Arabidopsis thaliana: one gene and its partner. The protein of the gene in region 1 interacts with the protein of each later gene in a pairwise test. Each region holds a gene or a part of one and is shown on either strand. Other genes may lie near its edges. The genes, in order: ROL5 and AT4G35910.

Evidence for each region.
Region 2: the proteins of ROL5 (region 1) and AT4G35910 interact in a two-hybrid assay, tested with the Arabidopsis thaliana proteins (one study listed by BioGRID).

What each region holds. Positions count from the first base shown.
Region 1 is NC_003071.7:18,295,262-18,301,884, forward strand, and holds ROL5 (repressor of lrx1), read right to left. Parts: upstream 5,044-6,623; 5' UTR 4,893-5,043; coding exon 4,797-4,892; intron 4,491-4,796; coding exon 4,376-4,490; intron 4,307-4,375; coding exon 4,164-4,306; intron 4,077-4,163; coding exon 3,957-4,076; intron 3,862-3,956; coding exon 3,749-3,861; intron 3,663-3,748; coding exon 3,570-3,662; intron 3,487-3,569; coding exon 3,446-3,486; intron 3,338-3,445; coding exon 3,271-3,337; intron 3,191-3,270; coding exon 3,079-3,190; intron 2,985-3,078; coding exon 2,817-2,984; 3' UTR 2,617-2,816; downstream 1-2,616. Other genes in the region: AT2G44250 (tRNA-splicing ligase, putative (DUF239)), read left to right, coding at 1-153; AT2G44260 (DUF946 family protein (DUF946)), read left to right, coding at 727-2,478; AT2G44280 (Major facilitator superfamily protein), read right to left, coding at 6,302-6,477, 6,547-6,623. UniProt on the Arabidopsis thaliana protein: Plays a central role in 2-thiolation of mcm(5)S(2)U at tRNA wobble positions of tRNA(Lys), tRNA(Glu) and tRNA(Gln). Directly binds tRNAs and probably acts by catalyzing adenylation of tRNAs, an intermediate required for 2-thiolation.
Region 2 is NC_003075.7:17,008,734-17,015,356, forward strand, and holds the start of AT4G35910 (Adenine nucleotide alpha hydrolases-like superfamily protein), read right to left. Parts: upstream 2,910-6,623; 5' UTR 2,575-2,909; intron 2,305-2,574; 5' UTR 2,282-2,304; coding exon 1,986-2,281; intron 1,904-1,985; coding exon 1,555-1,903; intron 1,462-1,554; coding exon 1,375-1,461; intron 1,100-1,374; coding exon 978-1,099; intron 877-977; coding exon 798-876; intron 698-797; coding exon 303-697; intron 133-302; coding exon 84-132; 3' UTR 1-83. Other genes in the region: MCA1 (PLAC8 family protein), read right to left, coding at 3,373-3,425, 3,509-3,602, 3,857-3,963, 4,071-4,142, 4,273-4,388, 4,558-4,970, 5,049-5,459. UniProt on the Arabidopsis thaliana protein: Plays a central role in 2-thiolation of mcm(5)S(2)U at tRNA wobble positions of tRNA(Lys), tRNA(Glu) and tRNA(Gln). May act by forming a heterodimer with NCS6/CTU1 that ligates sulfur from thiocarboxylated URM1 onto the uridine of tRNAs at wobble position.

The DNA of each region.
Region 1 (6,623 bases):
GATAAATCTAATCATCCGATCAAACCCTTTCCTCAAAATCTTGAAGCTTCTGTTACTCGGCCTGAATGCTATAACCTCAAGGTTGGCTCTAGCCGAAGATGGGGAACTTACATTTTCTATGGTGGACCTGGACGTAACCCTCAATGCCTATGAAAAGTGACATGATTTTTCGAAATTTATTTAGAAAATGTTTGGGACAACCCTTGTGATTGAACTGAATAGCGTTCTAAAGATGTAAACTTTTTAAGACTAATAAATGGTTTTGCATTTGAGATAAAACAAAAAAGATCATATCAATATTTTAATAAGCAACACATTTTTCTTGTTAGGTCATAAAACGTAACAAGTCGGTGTCACTAATTTACTTATCAAGTGATACCTTGCACGATTTGTAACTTGCAGAAAAAAAGAAGATAGAAGGATATGATAAAATTTTATGCATATGTAGAAAAAAACCTTGCACGACACCTTCCGTTAGATCGATCAGCTTTGACTTATACGTTTAAATTTGCGTTTTTGTCATTCACAGAGAAGAATATGCTTTACACTTATCCTCTCTTTCTTATTTCTATATTCTTGATGAGTAAAGTAATTGACACCAAGATACTGCATTTCTATATAACCCATGACTACAAGTTTCCTCTGTTTTAACAAAAAACGAAAAAAACAAACAAGTTTCCTCTGTTTAAATATCAATCTTCCTGTTTATGTTCCGCTATCCCAAAAATGGGAAACTGCCTTTCAACCTCTGATCCATCTCATGAAGATGTATCAAAGAAGCTTCCCAAAGCACTTCCCGTCGATGCTGCATTCAAGTTTCCTTCACCGTTACCTACTTTTACTCGAGGTTTGTATTATCATCGGTTCTTACTGATCTCTCTCTCTCTCTCTGTCTCCCAATTAGTTTTGATAATCTTGATTTCACTTGCATCATCAGGTGATGGTTTTGCGAAAGGAACCATTGACTTAGGAGGTGGTCTCGAAGTTAGTCAAGTTTCGACATTCAACAAAGTTTGGTCCACTTATGAAGGAGGACCAGACAATCTCGGAGCTACATTCTTTGAACCATCCTCAATCCCTTCCGGTTTCTCCATCCTTGGCTACTACGCTCAACCAAACAACCGTAATCTTTTCGGTTGGGTACTCACAGCTAGAGATCTCTCAAGCAACACCTTAAAACCACCAGTAGATTACACCCTCGTAGGAAACACCGAGTCACTCAAAATTAAACAAGACGGAACCGGATACTTCTGGCAACCCGTTCCTCCTGATGGATATCAAGCCGTTGGCCTAATAGTCACAAACTACTCACAAAAACCACCTCTAGACAAACTACGCTGCATCCGATCAGATTTAACCGAACAATGTGAAGCTGATACATGGATATGGGGCACAAACGGAGTCAACATCTCAAATCTAAAACCAACCACAAGAGGAACACAAGCTACAGGAGTCTATGTAGGTACATTTACATGGCAAACCCAAAACTCCTCGCCTCCATCATTATCTTGCTTAAAGAACACGAAACTCGACTTCTCTACAATGCCAAATGGGTCCCAAATCGAAGAATTGTTCCAAACTTTTTCTCCATGTATCTATTTCCATCCAGACGAAGAATATCTACCTTCCTCTGTCACTTGGTACTTCAACAACGGAGCATTACTATACAAGAAAGGCGAAGAATCGAAACCAATCCCTATCGAATCAAACGGTTCTAATCTTCCACAAGGAGGATCAAACGATGGATCATACTGGCTAGATCTTCCTATAGACAAAAATGGTAAAGAGAGAGTCAAAAAAGGAGACTTACAAAGCACAAAAGTGTACCTTCATATCAAACCAATGCTCGGAGCAACATTCACAGATATATCAATCTGGATATTTTACCCTTTCAATGGACCAGCAAAAGCCAAGGTCAAATTCGTAAATCTACCGTTGGGTAGAATCGGAGAACACATTGGAGATTGGGAACACACGACGCTACGGATCAGTAATTTCACCGGAGAGCTTTGGAGAGTGTTCTTATCGCAGCATAGTGGTGGAATTTGGATCGATGCTTGCGATTTGGAGTTCCAAGACGGAGGAAATAACAAGTTTGTGGCGTACGCATCGCTACATGGACACGCGATGTATCCGAAACCTGGGTTGGTGTTGCAAGGAGACGATGGGGTTGGGATTAGGAATGATACGGGGAAAGGTAAGAAGGTGCTTGATACGGGGTTAGGGTATGAGGTGATTGCGGCGGAGTATGACGGCGGAGGAGTGGTGGAGCCGCCGTGGGTTAAGTATTTCAGGAAGTGGGGGCCGAAGATTGATTATAATGTTGATGATGAAGTTAAGAGTGTGGAGAGGATATTGCCTGGGCTTTTGAAAAAGGCTTTTGTTAAATTTGTGAAGAAGATTCCTGATGAAGTTTATGGTGAAGATGGGCCTACTGGGCCTAAACTCAAGAGTAATTGGGCTGGTGATGAAAGTTGATGAAATGTTGGTTTTTCTTTTAGATTGTTTGTTTGGTTTGATTCTTTGTATATAAAATTCTTCATAGACCTTAATGTAAAACTATTATGTTTTATATGTAAATAAATAAACATTGTGTGGCTAAGTACAAAAATTTTTATTGGAAACTTATGAACAGATTTGTTTCATAAATTCATAATTAAACCCTTCAGATACAATCATAAGCCAAAAAAGAAAACCAAAAGTACAATTAAGTTCTACAAGAAGTTTATGAAAGGAAAAAAAAAATCTTTTCTTTTTCTATATAATCAAATCATTCACTATGACTCATACGATTTTGTAGCTTTTTTCTCAAAATTTTAGAAATCCAGAGATCCACATTGTTTGCTCTCTATAGATTTTGCTACAGATCCAGGCTTCTTTGTTTCCTTATTATGATCACCATTTACGCCTCGAGGTCTTCCAATACCCATCTTAGGCAAACCACGGTTCAGTCCTTCCAGCAAAACACAAGCTTTACACCATTTCTGCATATCATTTGTAATCCAAACAATCAAACACTATATACTAACTCTAATTATGGAAAACAATTTACTTGATGTGATAAAAGAGAGGTCTCACCTGGCTAGAAATATACCCGCATCGCTCACACGTCCCTTGCTCAGGCATCTTTGTGGTTGTTGCAATTCTAAAATCTTCACCAGACTTTATGATGTCCAGAATCGCCCTTGGCCTGCACTTTGTGTAAGTTAGAGATCTCTAGTTTTCTTATTTCATTCTAGCGGATACTAAACAAAAGGGTTGAGAAAGAACCTTATTCTTTCCAAATCTTTGATGAACTCACGGGCAAACCCACGATATGCATTAGGAGAGTAAATGCCTGCAAACTCAAAAAAAAAAAATAAGCCATAAAAATAACTAGAGATTGGCTGAAACTATAACTTAGGAACAGATAAAACCTACAAAAAATCGATGATTGTACACTTACATTCAGTGGAGAAGTAATCCAGCTTCTTGAAATAAGCATACGTAAAGCTACGTTAAGGTATCACAATATCTTTTGTTGACAAGTATAAGCGATATATACAAAAGCATTATGTAGTGAAGGATATATGACAATCTCCTTTTCGTATGTATACTTGAAAGGTTTACATCTTGGAATGGGACCATCTTCACCAGTAGTAATCGATGTGCACCTACTTAATCTACAGTTACCAATGTTACAAATATCAATTAGTTGAGGAACGAGACAGATTTTTCATTTTCCATCAAATCATCAACAAATACTTACCTAGCAATATCCCCTCGCAATATGTTCAAGAGAACGGTTTCTGCTATATCATCTGCATTATGTCCAGTGACTAGCTTCTCTACTTTCAATAACGCAGCTCCTCGGTCAAGTGCCTTGAGATGAATTAAACACAAGAGTGTTGGTGGTATGCAGAGTTATTGACAAACTGAAAGTTGAACAACAAAAAGAAAACGGCACTGCTCCCTACCTGTCGACGGAATACACCACAAAAGGTGCAATTGTTCTTCAAACCAATCATTTTCACAATCTCATCCATTGTCCATCCATACAGATCTTTATATGAAACAATCTTAAGAGGCAAACCATACTGGAAGAGAAAAATAAAGAACCCATCAAACTAAAAACCGCCATAAAACAATCACTTAACACACATAGAATTCAAAAAGAAGCTTACTTGGACTTCGTTCCGTTTAACAGTCTCAAGAGAATCATCACGATAACCCGTAATCCCTTCATCTATGGACAAGAGAAAGAGGTCTAGCCCATAATTGTGGCGTCTGTTTAGTTCTGATAACACATATGCCAGAACAGTAGAATCTGCACAAAACAATCTTAAAAAGTTACAGTATGTTAAAGAAAAAGATCAATCAGAATCTAAGCAATCACCTTTTCCACCAGAGGCACCTATAGCAACACGTTCACCAGATTTGAATAAACGATTCTGAACAATGACTTGATGAATCTCCTCCTCAAAAACCTCATAAAAGCACTCTCTGCATATCTTTAAAACACACATACTCAATCACTTCTCATACATAACACAAAAATAAGAGACTCTGGAAACTAGCAATAGACTGAAAAACTAATGATTGTCGTTACTTTCACTATTGATCCAACTCCGACGAACTACATTGATTATTTTGATTTGATTCCACATAGAGATCATAATCCAAACCAATGCAATTCATAAAGAGTCAAACCTAACACTAACAGTATAGAAATGTGTTCCAAGCTTCTGCTTAATATGTTAGCTAAAACCCAACGAGATTCTACGAGAAAAGAGAAATAAAAAAAATTGAAAAGTTACCTGTTGAAGGGTTTTAGGTCTTTTGAGGACGGGACGTCTCAGGTTGCATAAGCAGCAGAGACGGGAGGCTACTGCTTTCTTGTTCTTGGCCTCCATTTTTCACCGGAGCTCATGCGGAGAAGATTTCCGGGATTACTAGTCGGAGGTGGAAAACGACCTAAACCTAAGTGTCGGCGTGAAACGGCATCGTCTTGTGTGTGGGCCATAAATGGGCTTTGACGGAACTCGCACTTTAGATTTAAACGGCATCGTTTAAGCGGAGGTATATTCAGAGTGACTCAGTGTTGCAGAGTTTGACTTTGTCCCATCGATTAAGCTAAAGAGTAAAGACAGTGACGCAGTTATTTTGTATTAAAGTCTCTACTTTGTAAATTTACTGCCAAAAACTTGCCTTCCATAGTTCCATGTCCATCGCAAAAGTTTCAGCGGTGGTAGTTATTCCAACAAGAATCTGAACAAAATGTTTGGACTTGAGATCTTTAGATAGATGTTTTGATGTTTACTCAGCTGTGTTTTATTTGCAAGGATGAAAGAATCAGCCGAGACAAACAATTCTTGGTGATCCAGGCTCATTTTATTCCTTGTCCTCTGTTTTTTTTGTGTCCTATGTCTTTACTTGCTCTGTTTATCTGATTGCTCTGTTCGAGTGTTCTGTTTTCTTTTCATTGCTAGCTCTGTTTTCTGTGCTCTGCTATCTTTTTGCTCTGTTTCTCTAGGTGCTCCGTTTTTCACCGGCTCTGTTTCTCTACTTGTTATGTGCTACTCTGCTTGACCCTTAAAAATGGATCAGATGTTTCTCTCTGACCCTGAGAGCATCATCATTGCTAGATCTAGTCGGCGAAAAAAAAAACTGAAACCTTTCCTCCATTTATCAACCAGTATAAGCTGGAAGATCACAAAACAGGTTTGCATGAGTAACTGCTTAAAAAGACATAATTCTGATTGTTCTCCATTATATTTTCCTATGTTTATGTGAATAACCAAATGAAAGAACTTAACATTACACCACACCAAAAAATAAAAGATAAACATTGATCAATTGCTTTGTGAATCAAAAAATTTCCTTTCTCAGACTCTGTAGAATAGAGAAACTATTTAATGGATTGGATTAAGTTTTGATTCTCACGTGGATATGTTCATCGATCATCTATGTTCTAAATTTCTAATGAAAACAAAAACAAAGGGTAAGAATCAGAAATATTCATGATTCTTTCTGCAAGGATATCACAAAGAGTCAATCTTTATTCATCTTCAGAGTCTCAGACAAGGAAGATTCAATGAAGGAAGCGATTAAAGAGTAGACAACATAAAATAAAAATCAACTTGCATTAATTTTTAATGACTTTCAGTAATTCTTGTACAAATGTTTTGCCTGTCGCAGTGTGATATAAACCTATTCTTATGAACAAAAAATTAGCAGACTGAAACATTTACTGTCAAACAGTAACCAAGTTTTGAGCTATATGTGTTTACCAGATCATAAGCATTGTGTTTCTTCTTTCTGTTCATTCTAGTAGTAGCGGTTGACACAGAGGCTTTAGAATCGTGCTATCGAGTTCCATAAAATATGTTACAACAACTCCAACAAGCGAGCATACAGCTGGAACAAGTCCTAACCCATATCTTGTCACCGAGAAGTAAAAATATTCTTTGATGTTTACGTCAACCTTTGGTGAAGTGCCTGCACCATTTTCCAAATTAGACTTCCATCAATTTTAAGATAATATTAGAAAGAAAGACAAAAACTTACCTTGATGTGACTGAAGAACATATAAAGCAAGCCCACATGACATTTTGTCTAAGAAGCTTAATGACCCACAAACGAAA
Region 2 (6,623 bases), on another chromosome or scaffold:
TTAGGTTTCTAGGAATAATCCTTGATAAGCATGACAGGATTTAAACTTCCTCTCATACCTTGTGCAAGCATCCGAATGCAGATTTAGACAACCTCTTCATCGTCCAAGAGCAGACAGTCTTTAATTTTCTCCCTGAAATAAATGGAAACCAATGTTAGGAATCTCAAATAGTGTTTCACTCAGTCTTGATCTTGGTTGTTTTAAATCTGATGCTTCCTAGAGACATGAACTACCAATAATGTAGGTAAAACGAATGGAAAAGGAATCCAAGTTTGAGATCAGAGTTAATGCATACTACTCACCTCAGATAAGCTTGACTATCAACTTTTTGATGTTTCACTTGGGAAATCATGTGATCTGGTAGAAATGAACTGAATTGCTCAAGAGATGATCCATCCTGTGGAAGTATTTGAAACCGGCAACTTGAACAGCAAGCAGCATAGAGGACATCAGATTCCTGGCCTTCTTCAAAAGTATCCAACTCTGATGAGTCTGATCTATTTAGCGGGCCATTGCAGATAGGACAGAAAGCTTCAGTAGTCATTGATCCATCATATTTGAGATTGAATCTCTTTAGGCGCCTCTGAGTGGCCATAGGTACATTAGAGTCGTCTGTTTCCGGAATTTTATTGAAGTAAAATGGAGTCAGCTTCGCAGCTGTCCGTACAATTGTGCATTCCCGGGAAGGATTTTCTTCCTGCACAACAGAACCCAGAGACAAATGAATCAGTAAAAACAAAGTAACAGGTAACCATGCATGCACTTAAACATATGCAGAAGATGAACATTATCTGAACCTGCAACAGAGCGACAAATGAAGACACCAAATCATTGATTCCGCATTGAGAACGACAAGCCAACTCCACAGTCTTAAGTCTGCCCTGCCCAGAATATGTGACGTCACTCAATAGTTGGATTATGCAAGAATAAGGTTCACTATAACAATACAATGTAGACTAGGCAGCCAATAAACGAACCCATCCAAAAGGCAGAGTCTAGTTATTTCCAGTCGAACACAATCTCGAAGTGGAAGTACAATGGGAACCTTCCATCTAGCATCAACATGCTGAATATCTGCTGATAGTGAATAACCTCGTCCCTGTTTCAAGAAAAAGCAATTCAACTCACAATTCTGATAGAACATAGTCTAAAGGGAATGTCCAAATAAAGTACACAAAACATTGTGTACTGAAATAAAATCTTTACACCAAAACTTCAATTTTTAGAGATGTAATTGGTTAAGTCCAAAATATCTACATTCTTTAAGGTAGCCATTGATTGCTTTCTGGCATGAAGTTCTCACTCTAAGATGCAATCTATAGAATAACTAAGCCAGAGGAAACACGAGTCAAGTCAGGGCACTAAGCAACACACCTTGACAGTAGCCGTAAGAACATGGGAAGCAATTCTCGACGTGCATGATCCCAACACTAATCTATTGTACCCATTTTCAGCGGCAACCTAAAAAGGTTTATCAAACAACATTAAACAAAAGATATTTCCAAATCTGAATTTCTTTCCCAGACAGAAACAAAAGCAATATAATGTCCAAACCTTTTGCAAAGATAACATTTTCAGATGCAGCAGAAGGTCTTCTTTTCCAGTATCGTCAGGAACAGAATCTAATAGCTTCAGAAGTCTATCCCGTGCGTCAAGAGAGTCTGAACCAAATATGCTTTCGACTGGAACAACATGGAGATCCTTAGCAGGTGGAGACAAACACGAGACAGTATATCGAACCCACTCAATTGCATCAATCATTTCAGTGGAAAGAGCAGGAAAAGCTGCAGTTTCATCCACAAAAGCAACACCAACACCAAACACAGGTAAAGATCTATCTCGACTCGCCTCGTAATTCTTCAAAGCCTTGATTTGCAACTCGTGCACAAATTGAAGAGAAACCCTAACATCATACTTGCTACGTTTAGACACCAATCAATAACATATCAAAAAACAGAAACTAAAGGAAAAAAAGAGAGCAAAACCTGGAAGATGATCCGCCAGAGAAAGCAACAAGGACGTTATCTGAAGGAGTGATCATAGCATGAGAAGTAACAGCAAGACGGAATTTCCCAAAGACATTGTTCCTAAAACAATCTGCGCAGAATCTTCCATCGTCGAAGCCACCGTCACCAAATGTCATAGGCGCATTGCATTTACACTTGACGCAGACACTCTCATGATTACCGCCACCAGATACTGCATCATCCACTATCTTACTTCCATTATCTTTCTCACGGTCATAGCAACCTGACTCACAGCCTGAGGAATTACAAGCCATTTCCAATTCGCAAGCAGCTGAAACTGTGGAAAATTTAGATTAGGAATTACAACACAAAGGAGTAGACAATGCTATCAACATCTAATTCACGAGACTTAACTACTTTCCGCCATTAACGAGATAATTAAGAGATTGTTACTCTAAACGAAATCATTAGTCTTTTTTACTCAATCAGTATATAATCAATCCTATTACACTGTATATTGCTAAGTCTTGCTATAAAGCGAATATATTGAATAGATAGCGATGTGTGCACATTCAAAATCGAAACAAGCAAATAAGTGATTAGTTACCAGTTTGAGAGAGAAAGAGAGTCGTCGCGATAAAATCTTTAGCAGCCCCAGGTCAGCCTCAGGCGGCGCCAAAACGTTATGCGGTGGTTGACTACGGCGATATTGGTTTAATTGTTAGAAAAATGTCACTACTTTGTCTGAAACTAGGGTTTAGAGAAAGCAAGAAAAATTGGGGAAGAAGATGAAAGTGGTTATTTACGAGTCTACCCATACCGGTGAGACGATTAGTAAAGAAATTATGGTTTGATAAGTATTTAAAAGATGCTAAACCGTAAACATGTAACCATCCATTAAAAGGAACCGACAAGTTTTGTCCAATTTGGGAGCAATAGAAGAGAATCATCATCAGTCATATCAATTTTGTCAATGTTTTAGGCTTTTTAGTCATGGTAATGATACCTCACATGCATTTCTTCATCTCTTTTCTTCTTCAAAGAATTTTCCTTAATTTGCTATTGTAATATTAATATTCACCCACCAGCAAATTGTATATGTTCTCCTTGATTCATAAAAGAAAACTACTATTTTGACCCAAAACACAAGTTTGGTTCAATTGGCCATCCGGTAAACCTAATACCCTATCTTGTGATAAAAGGTTGAAATAAGAATTAGTTAGTCTATATGTGATACACACAACACAAATTGCTGAAATTAAGATGAGAATCCCAAACTAATTTACATACGACTCCACGATTTAACACAATAATATTAAGTGAGTAGTACGAAGAAGAATCTCGTCTCGTATCCAGAGTTACAACAAATCGTTGTTTTTGTTCACCTTTTGTATAATAGAAGATTTCAATGTTCCATGAACTGCGACGAAGGCGGGCTTATTTTCGTCTTCTCCGTACCTGCAAAGATATGAGAGACAGATCTTTGTTAGTGCTTCAAGATTGAAACAAATATTGATAATATGTTTGTATGTAAATCATACCATATGCCCCACGAATCTCAACTTCTCTCAGTTCTTGTACAAGGGCACAGCAACAACACATTACATGAGATAGAAAATCGTCAATGAATCCTCCCTGCGAAATCAGAAAACATTAAGCATTCATTCCGACTCTACATTGAGTGGCATAAACATAGCCATTTCAATCTCAACCATGATAGTTACTACTGAATTTTTTTGCAGGTGTCTACTTAATCTTTAACCGAAATTTCATTTGTTGTTTATGGTATGCAAATGATAGAAATTTTCTCGGAAGCATATAGATTTTTGGGATCAAATGGGATTAATGGTAAGGATTCAAGCGAGTGGAAGAGAATGAGAATGTAATACCGTGATGTTCAGTGTCTTCCGGAGTTTCCTCCTCACGCAACAAGTATAGCAGCAACAAGAAAGTATCAAAGAATACGCCATTAGCTCATTACATGCTTCAGCTGAAGCTGGGAGAGCGAAAATTAAAAAAAATCCAGTTGACTTATTAGCTTTCACATGTATTACTAAAAGATTGAAAATTAATAAAGTCACGGTATTCAATAATATCCCTTACAGATGTGCCTGTTGGATGCTGCAGTGGCAATCTTTGCCAAAGTACCACACGGGAAAAAGAATGTCTTGAAGCCTGCGGTTCCATCATTGAATCTTTGAGAACTTTGCAGATAACAAGGAAGTATAGAATGTGAAACGCTAATCATCTATGTAACAGAGAAAACAAAGTGGAGCCACATTGTAAACAAATAGTGTGGTCTTACAAAGAGAAGGTTCCGAGCAACAAGCTAGTAAGTCGGTATGCCATTCTTCATGGTGTTGTGCCTGTGATGCTCTTCGTGAAAGCAGATCATGCCCAGATGAAACATTAGAAGTGGATCTGCATGGAACAATTGTGTAACCGATGTTATAGAACATTGTACCAAATCTTAGCCTTCAAACATGAAAACAGACCTAAAAGCATTACAGTCACAGCAAAGAATTGAAGATTATACTTTCTTAAACTTGTAAGGAAATTTGGATCTTTAGAACAAACATGAGATTCTAACCTCGAAGCTGCACGAGTACTGCTTTTCTTGGGAGAATCTTCGTCATACGAATATTCCGTCTTCATGCTTGAGCTACGTTCAGATTTTTTGGAAGCTTTCTTTGTCAGCTCCTTCTCAGAGTCAGGTTCAACAGCAGCAGCAGCTTGTGTAACACCAATTAAACGCTGAATGACTTCACACTGAGCCACATCATAATGCTCCTGCGACCGCTGAAGTTCGATCTGCAGTTTCTCGTTTTCTGTTTTGAGAGCTTCACAGAAACGCAAGTTAGGGTATGAGCAAGAGAGAGTCTTCTTCAGTACTGATGCTGCTTCTCTGGTGGATTCTTGTTTCAAAATAACATCTTGCACATGTCTATCCTCTTCATCCAGAGTGTACTCACGCTGATCACGGTCAATATACTCAAACCTCTCCTGTATAACAATCAAAATTTCAATATACCATAACATCAAGCAGAGAAACTTGTTAGACCAAAATGCAGGTAAAATTACCCGAATGCGAGCGTTATCGACCAAAGTGATGAGAGGTATGATCTTAAGAAAACGATCAATCTCATCCTGATGTTTCCTGAACTGGTAAACAATGTTCCAACCCATAGCCAACAAGTAAAGATAGCTCCGGTCTCTACAGCTATTGACCAGAAGGTAAGACCTTCTCAAAGCATCCTCAAGCCCTTCGAGAGGCTCTCGAGTCTCAGGATACTTCTTCATCTCAGAGATCTTCAGCTGTTCAAGCAAATTCCCAATGAGTTTGAGATGTTGAGCGAATTGACGACAATTCTTCTTATGCATCCAAGCAGTATTCGCAGCTTTGACTATGAGACCAATCAACTTGACCGCATCTAAACCAGTCAGCTGAGCCACTGACGCAATCTCCCCAAGACCATCCCATGAATGTGACATTATCTTCTTCTACTCAAAGTTCCTGGTCGATAGAAACCGAATCATCATTATGCACAGGAAACATAACTTGAAGATCCAAAAACATGGAATTATCGAGATTGTTGGAAATTTTACCTTCGCTGAGCTGATATTAATGGAAATTGACGGAATCAGAGAGTTGGATCCAAAGTTCTACAAGGACGGCATTGTTGATAGAGATCGAGTAGGAGTTCAGTTCCTGGCGATATATCAGAGGTAACCACCGAGAGATTCAGATATTCCGGTTGAGAAATCGCATTATATTGAGGGAGTGAAGCGAGAATTGACTAAAAGAGGGAGCAGTTTCTTCGACTGCGACAACAAAAGCAACAAAGAGAAAAAGAGAGTCCATAAGATACCAATCAAAGAGATTCTCCAGGTCTATAGGCTTTCTACGTCAAAGATCTTCAACACCAATAAAGCAAACAAATTTTTTTTAAGAAAATCCCTAAAGATGATTTGTCTTTGAAAGACTTGAAGCTGACGAAAGCGAAAGAGTAAAATTCAAAGACCAGAAAGTAAAAGTAGCACAAATATGAACAGTTTCAACCTCCGACGATTTGAACAATTCGCCGGCGACAAACTCCTCCGCCGAGAGTCAAGTCAAGTGGAAGAAAAAAGACATTGAAAATCACAGAAAACTTTTAAGTAAATTAAAAAAATGGAGAGAGAGAGAGGAAACAATATTGGAATGCTCACATGATGGCAATGAAGAAGACAACCGATATACTTTTTCTCTTCACGGATTTCTATATACTATAACAAAATTACCCAAAAAAAAAATGGAAAATGCTTGAAGAAGAAGAAGAACACTACTCAAGTCTAGGAATTACAGAGATACGTTTCCAGGAAAATGCAAAACCACCTGGAGATTTCTTCAAAATATGAGCAGAGAAGAAGATTCTATGCAACTGTGAAGGGAGAGTTAAATCCAGAGGCAGAGATGAGAAGACGGTTTGTTTTTGTCGATTTATGTATTTCTCTCATTAGCTTTCTTTCTCCCACACCTTCTTCACTTGCCACTCGTCGGAGCTCAAGAGCCCCCCCATCCTGCTTTTTTCTCCATGTATTTTTACCCATAGGCCCAGCAAAACTCTCTCTAATTACCAATGTGCCCCTGGTGACTTTTCTGTTTTTATTTATTAA